Oreochromis niloticus: one gene and its partner. The protein of the gene in region 1 purifies or fractionates together with the protein of each later gene. This does not show direct contact. Links are inferred from orthologs where the notes say so. Each region holds a gene or a part of one and is shown in the gene's direction. Other genes may lie near its edges.

The links.
Region 2: the proteins of hspa12b (region 1) and eef2k purify together in Homo sapiens (affinity purification with mass spectrometry; 3 studies listed by BioGRID and IntAct, with this or other methods). This does not show direct contact. The link is inferred for Oreochromis niloticus from reciprocal best matches to the Homo sapiens genes HSPA12B and EEF2K.

The regions. Positions count from the first base shown.
Region 1 is NC_031967.2:9,944,754-9,948,676, forward strand, and holds the start of hspa12b (heat shock 70 kDa protein 12B), read left to right. Parts: upstream 1-1,036; 5' UTR 1,037-1,510; intron 1,511-2,896; 5' UTR 2,897-3,323; coding exon 3,324-3,468; intron 3,469-3,923.
Region 2 is NC_031973.2:9,895,315-9,899,237, forward strand, and holds the start of eef2k (eukaryotic elongation factor 2 kinase), read left to right. Parts: upstream 1-1,338; 5' UTR 1,339-1,615; intron 1,616-2,162; exon of another isoform or gene 2,163-2,191; 5' UTR 2,192-2,202; coding exon 2,203-2,451; intron 2,452-2,965; coding exon 2,966-3,031; intron 3,032-3,851; coding exon 3,852-3,923. UniProt on the Homo sapiens protein: Threonine kinase that regulates protein synthesis by controlling the rate of peptide chain elongation.

The DNA.
Region 1 (3,923 bases):
TCACTTCCCGCGCTCAGTTTCCTGCGTCTGAATCTCGGAGGAGAATGGTGAGGCTGAGGAAAGGGGCAGCGGACCCAGAGCGAGGCCCCTCTTGTAGATCTGATGATGATCAGGATGAAGCCGGCTGCTAAACACAATCAAAATGATGAAAAGCGCAGATCTGAAATGTTACCGCCCGACTGCTGATGTAAATGATTAGAAAATTAACCGGAGCAAATGAACGTGGGCAAGAGATCAAATGAAAGGGATTAAACAAAGAAAGAGTGTGCTTTAAATGTGGGGGGAAAACATCTGCATGAAAAAAGGCAATAAAGAGAAAGAGAGAGGTGATGGCAGGATCTGTATGGGGCCTCTTGGTTTTTGGGCAGCAAAGGGGAGGCGTGCCAGGTAATGGTTTCCAGACACACACACACACACACAGTTGCACACTAGTAAGCCTACACTCTAATTCGATTTGGAAATCTGACGGGATAAGGGGTGTATATGTGGATGTGTGTGTATATACCTTGGGCCATTTTTCCTTCTCACTTCTTGCTTCTTCTGTGCATTGGGAGAGGGCCCGGTTAGTCACAACGTGTCGTCTGTGCGTAGGTGTGTGTGTATGCAAGCACGAGGGGTTAATGTATGCTTTCCATCACAGCTCTAGTGGGGAGAAATCAGATCCCTGCAGCGCAGAACTCAACCTCAATGCATGGACGGACACCCAAAGCATAAGAAAAAGAGAAAATTGTCCCGCCCCTTATACCTGTATGATCTGCACGCCTGTGTGAAGAGGTTAAGAAGGCCAGCTGCAATATCAGTGAAAGTGCAAAGATATGAGAATGAGAATAGAAATAGTACAAAAAAAAGAAAAAACAGAAAAAGATGAAAAGAAGAGCAAAAAAGGAGACAGGAAGAGCTAATTAAACTGTGGAAGGATAGATGTGTAGGAGCCGGAGGGAGGCGAGAGGGCGAGATGACTTAACTGTTCAAAATGACTCCACCCTCAGTCGCCAACGCAAACGGCAATTTCCCATTGGGGTAAATCCCCCACCGTGCCCTGTCACAGCCCTCCTACTTCTGCAACTGGTGTATGCGTGTCTGTGTTTGCATGTGTGTGTGTGTCACCACTTTTCTCTGACATTCCTGTGCAGAGCAGGGAGACGGTGAGCTGAGCTGCAGAGAGGCTGAGCTGCAAACCCAATTCAGAAATCCATTCGAAAGCAACTGAGGATTTTCTTTATGTTTTCCAGTCATTTTTCTTGCACAAGCCATCATTTTCTTCCGATTCTGGAATTCCGGTTTCAGAGAATCTGCCAGCAAGTCAGCTGGGACGAAGTCTTCCATTCTTAACACGGGATTCCTAGAAAAGCATCCTCTCGTTTCCTCCTCTTCCCTTTTTCTCTCCATCGCAAACCCCTGGAGATAGATTCCAAGTTTGCCAAGTTCCAGAGTTTGGGAATATTGTTGTGCTGCAGCCAGGAGAGGCTGAAACAACAAGGGGCACAGAGGAGAAAGCAGCACTTAAAGGGTGAGTTCACTTAAAAGATCAAGCTTTTTTTGTGGGGTCCAGCTCTTGTTGGCATAATGAGGTTGATTACTCTCTGAAGAGGAATGCAATAATCCTTCTATTCCGAGCTAAAGAACTTCTGTCTAAGATGGCAAAATCCTGTTTGTGCAAGTTTGCATTGATTTTGAATTGACTGTCAAAGCTGATAAAGATGTCTAACATATGTTGTCAGCAGTTTCTCCTGCAGTCTAGAGACTGATAGAGCTTATTGTTAATGGTGCATAAAAGTGGAGTGTTTTGCAAAACCTGTCACTCAGGAGTTTTAGTTGCATGTTCTGCTGATCCACGGCTGGGACTCGGGTGGGTGTGAAGCATCCGCCGCACATTAGGCTTAGGAGATGATGAGACGACAGAGAGAAAAAGAATGACATTACTAAGGGGCAGGTATATGCAAAACAAAAAGGCAGGGGATAGCTGGGGAGTTTCATCCTCTTTCTGGTTTTAACATCAAATAGTGAGGACAGCTGCTGGGAAAGGAAGCGAGCGATGCACACACACGTTATATTCCAGTGTCACAGGCACAGGCTCGGATAAATGCGCACAGATGTTGCATGCATGTATGCAAAGAAAGGATGTCAAGCTGACTTATGGTCGCTTTATTCTCTCTCTCTCTCTCTTACGCACACACACTCACAAGAAAGAGATTTAAACAAACACATCTTTGTTTCATTGCACTCATCTGTTTAGTTTACTCCTGGCTCAGATCACAGTATAATCCCAGAGCTGTAATCAATACTCATACACACACACACATAGACACACACACACACACTGGCCATAGGGAAAAAAACAAAAACACACACATACAGTACTTGCTTTTTTTAGGAGAAATAAGTCAGTTCAGCAGATGCAGCATATATACAGAGCATGGAGCAGATATACTCCAGCCTTTAACATAATAACAACATATCTTACTATTTTAATCGACTCTCATTTACTTATATCATATTATAATCTTTGCTGTGCAGCTCTAACAGCTTTAAGTTTGATGCTGAAGTTAGCTGTGAATGATGGTTTGCTTTGTCCAAAACTCCCCATTTGCTTCCTATTTCTATTTTTCCAACATGTTTATGCAGCACGTAGCGCCTTCCAAAGAAGTGTCTGCGTCATGTTGTTTGGTGAACAGACCTCGTAATGTGATGCTTTGACTCTGGTATGTTGGTTTTTGTGATGGCACAAAGATCAGGAGTGTTATTACTAATAATAATCCTGACAATGACTTCCGAAAGTATCCCTGCAGGCCATAAAAGTGCACCTGCTAGTGAATTGATGGAGCCATGATATCCATGTGCCATTATGTTGAAACATGTGAATAAAAAGCTCAATTTTTGATCATTGTATCTGCAGCAGATGATAAACTACATGGACAAAATTGCAGGAGCTGCTATGCTGTCTAAACCCATGTAAGGAAGCTTAGGTGCAGAGTTTTTGTGCAAGAGGAGGTTTGGGACGGACCTTTACGCACTACGCAGCTCAGCACTCAGCAACCCCACTCTGCAACCAATTTGGAATCACAAAATAACCAAACATTTATGTGTTTGAACTGTGGGAGGACAGAATCCACGCTGGCACAAGGGAAGTATGCAAACCCCACACACAGAAAGATCTCTGCTGCCCACTGCACTCAAATCCTGGACCTTCTTCTTTTTCTGAGGCAACAGTGTTACCAGTGTGCCTGCCAGATAAAACTTTGCTTTAAAAAAGCTAATGTATTATATAAATATATCATGAAACTTGGGTAAAGTTCTTTTTCTCAGTGTTAAGAGTCAAATAGATGATAATATGTATTACAGCCGTGTTTTCCACAGACATCGTTTTCCATTCATCACGTTATCATCGGTTTGTTTCTCTGCAGACCCTGGCTCCTGTAAAGATGGCTGACGTATTGCAGCCAGACTCCAACAGCCTGCAGATACCAAGTGAGATGCACACTCAAACACTGACACGCACACACATCAACACGAGTTTGCTATTGCAGTCCTGTCCAAATGACTCACTTCTCCTTCTTTATCTGTTGGACCGTGGACATGCTGACCTTTCCATGTCCCTCTCCCACTTGGGTATACTACACACTTCACATTCCAGTGGCATTCCCACGATTCCATTCCATTCCATTACGATTATCACTTTTTGATCTAGAGAGGTCAAGTGTGTTTACATTTGACCTAATCGTCTAACCTCCACGGTGAAAAATGAGGTGTTTTCTGCAGTTACTCAGCAAATACAGTTTCAGCATGTTAGTATCAGTAGCTGATGACAGTTCAGAACCACCTCCTTTCTTATGATAAGGGTTTTCCCATAACTGCATATCTCCTTAAACAGACAGGATGACCTTTCTGTTTGTTCTCAGGGAGTGCATGTGGTGCTTTTCCAA
Region 2 (3,923 bases), on another chromosome or scaffold:
TTGGTCCATTTTAACTGTGCATGTGTGCAGCTCTCGACTGTAAGAATTTATATTAATGCTTTTTTAAATCATTAATATACATTCTTTATATTATATTAATGAATATAATATTGAGGACTCTGTTGGAAAATGGCTGATATTTCTGTGTACTGCTTAAACTTTAGCAATCTGTCAACAATTTTGGCAACTTTTAGTATCGCTGACTTTCTTTATTTGATCAAACGTAAATAAAAGCAATAATAAAAACATGAAAGAAGCTTCTAAGAAGCATTTGTCACCTCATTTTTATGTTCTTATTTACTCACAGGTGTTTCCATCATCATAAAGTGGTGCAGAAAAGGCACAACATCATCAGAAATTAAAGAAATAATAATAAAAAAAAAACATTCAAATGTCCTGGTGGTGGGTGACTGTCTGTTTAAGGTGTCCTCCAAAATTCTCAAAGCTTGTTTTTGGCCACAAGATGGCACTACAATATCAGACCTCGAGTTTTTATGACTATAAGCAACAGCAAAAAAGTGGAAACCCATTCTGGTATCTGGTTTTTATAACCAAAAAAAGAAAAACCATATTCAATTTGTCGATACTTGTCGTGGTGAAGAAGGCAAGAAAAATTTCTGGCAGCGGTGGGATTCGAACCCACGCCATCGAAATGACTGGAGCCTAAATCCAGCGCCTTAGACCACTCGGCCACGCTACCGTGATACCCCACGTCAGACACATATCTATTTATACGACGGGAAACATCATCCTATTATTCACGTTATACGACTGATGATGGGATTTCACTAACACTAATACTAATAACTCTCTTCGAGCACATAATTATATTTGTAGTTATCATTGAAGCCCTGGATGGATAAGGCACTGCTAATCTTTTTAATAAGAGCTAAATTTAGTACTCCTAACCCAGTGTTAAGGCTAAAGCCATTTTGGAGCCCTGTTATACAAGTAAATATTTGCAAGGATGTTTGGCATGTCACCTGCACTATAGCTATTAAATGCCATGTAAGTGCGGTCGTAAAGCTTCCCGATGAAGCTCCGTGTTGCCCCACGTGGCCTGTTTAGCCAGGCAACCATTGCTTGGAGTGGCACTTTGGAGGATGGTACAAACTGTTCAGCTCGTGGTGCTGTCAAATACTCCTGTGAAAGTACACAATTTTGCTTTTTTTGCGGCCTGGCTGTACGATAATAATTTTAACCACTGCTACTTATGCTGTTTTTATTTGTTTACCAGATCTATTTCAGACCCGTCAGAAGTCTTTTCTTCCTTATCGCTAAACACTCATTTCCGTGTTATTATTCTATTTCCGACCGTCCTGAAAGCAGCAGGACGCAGGGGCGTGGCCAACAGAGAACACTGTGATACGTGCGGAGGGAAGCCTCCGCCGTGGTGGACGGAACAAGAACAGAAGCCCTGCGCCAGGCACGTTCCCGGACCTTGAGGATACCGCGGAGAACAAGGAGGCATCCACTCTTGTTTTGGTCTCAGAGGAGGGGTGAACTCCTGCTCCTGGAGCCCTGACTATTTAAGTGCAAACCAATACCGAGAGACGGAAGAAGACCGAGGTGACTGGATTTGCTGTCACAGTCTGTCAAGATTGAGGGATTAGAGGTGTGTCTTTACATCCGATTATACATTGGCTGGTCATTTAATACTTTTACTATAACATATCTAACAGCAGGTCGCGATAGATTAAATTAGAAGATGATTCTTTGTAGGAAACTCCACTGCTGCATGCTGTAGTTGTAAAACAGGAATGGCTGCTGCTATTGTTTTACAACGTGGGGGGGCACATTGAACCTGCAGAAGCATGTGCTTGGGTGTGCATTCCTGTGCTCCTACTTTAAAACTCTCACAGCACAGTAACCTTTGATTACACCGACCGACTGACTTGCTAGATAACACAGATAAAATGAATGAAATGCTTTTGATTGCTGGTGGCCTTACTGATAACTTAGAACTCCCATGATGTGTGTTGTTTAATGAAATCTATGGCTGTAACTCAAATGTGAAGGTCTAGCCCCCTTCGAAGTCCTCACATTCGGTGTAAGAGTTGTGCAGCCATGATCCATGCTTGTTTTGGACATACACTAACATGGCTGCCACCTGGTTCCCTGACTGTGCACTCTGCATGTGACTGTTTTTTCCCTACTTCCAGTCCATTCTCACACTCTGTTGTCAAAACAGCAACAGAAACCATGGAGGACGAACTCATGTTCAGGATGGAGGAGGACGGCAGCGCCAAGAGACCCTCTGCCCAGCGGAGCGCCCTCAAACACAGAGCATCCTCCCTCAGCGAGTCCAACGCCAGCGAGGATGACGACGAAGACCACTTCATCTGCCCCATCCTGGACGATTCGGCCAAAGAAGTGTGCAGCCACCTTAAAAACCTGGTTTACGCACGGCAGCTGTCAAACTCGCTCCCTAAATCCAACTTCATGTACAGGGTGAGATATAAGACGTGGGGATATGACAGTTTGTTGTGCTGATGCATCATCCCCGCCTCTCAGTTCTGCAATGTTTCTGTTTGCCTTTTAAGGTGTGATGATACGCGCATGCCTGCACACACCTACTGTGTGGCTTGTCTGGTATTTCAACACGTGTGTTTATGTGTTTGCTCGAGTGAAGCGCTGGTCAGCCCACCTTTTATTTAAATGTACTTTCTGACAGGAAGCAGCAGAGAGCGGTTTCACCTCGTGATTATGATGTGTGTAAACACGGCTCTCCCTCTCTCTCTCCCTCTCTCCACATCAGCAGGGAGCTGCAACAAAAGCTCGATTCAGTGCGCGCGGCTCTTTATCACAGCTGCTGTGCACTGTTGGGATGAATTGCCTTTTCAGTTTTTGTGTGGTGGTGTTGTTGTTTCAGAGCCTCCAGGCTGTAATTGTTATCTAAAGTGATGTTGCATACATTTCCTGTTGATGATAAAGGATCCGTTTTCTTGTTTGTTTTTTTGCATAGAACGAAAAAGAAACAGATACAGTGGCAGAACATCGACCGTACAAGGTTTTGTCTGAGAGTGCACGGGTATGTTTGGATCCAAATCTTGTTTTTTTTTTTTCTTCTCTCCCTTTATACCACTGACCATCCACGCCTCCAACTCTTCACTCTGCCCTTTAATTTGCCTCTCCCTGCTTTTACTTTTAACCACTTCATCCCTCCTGGATCTTGTTCTTTTTTTAAAAAAAAAAAATTTTTAATTGATAAACGTGTCGCCTGCTCCTCTTCAACATAAGTGCTGCTCCTTCCTCACTCTAAATAGAAAGACATCTGCTGGACTGTGAGCAGTGGCGCACGAGGAGGACGTGCTGCTGAGCAGCGTAGGTTGGGCCAAGGCTTGGGTTACTTGCTAACAGATTTAGCTTACTTGTGACACCTGATTCAAGTTATGTTTTTGAAAACTGCACATGTTCACTTTAAGGTAGCTGTAAATTATTTTATTTACGGTGACCTTACAGCCCAGAAATCCACTCATAATGTCACCATGTATTCATTCTCCTGTGGTATTTGTTTTCAGTGATTGTCTGCTTCATGTTTGTGTGCTTCGTTGTGAGCCGCGTGGTTGTTTTGACCCCCTAAGCACGATTTAAATTGAGAGGGAGAGCCCTCTAATGCAGAAATTGTGACATTGTAGATTTCAATTAGAGAGCTGATTATAATTGCAAGAAAACAGTGCATGCATTGTTGCGTAAAGAGAACAGACTGGCTTAGAACTGCTTTTATTGTGCAGATTAAACAGCTTTGCATGGAAGGGCTTCCCCTCTTTCTTCTGTGTTCGAGAAATCCTGATATGGGAAACTGACTTTTATTCTGCTCTTTATATTTCTCTCTCTTGTTTTTCTACCAGGCAACATGGCTGCACGCCATCGAAAAGGCAAAAGCGATGCCCGACCCCTGGGCGCAGTTTCACCTGGAGGAG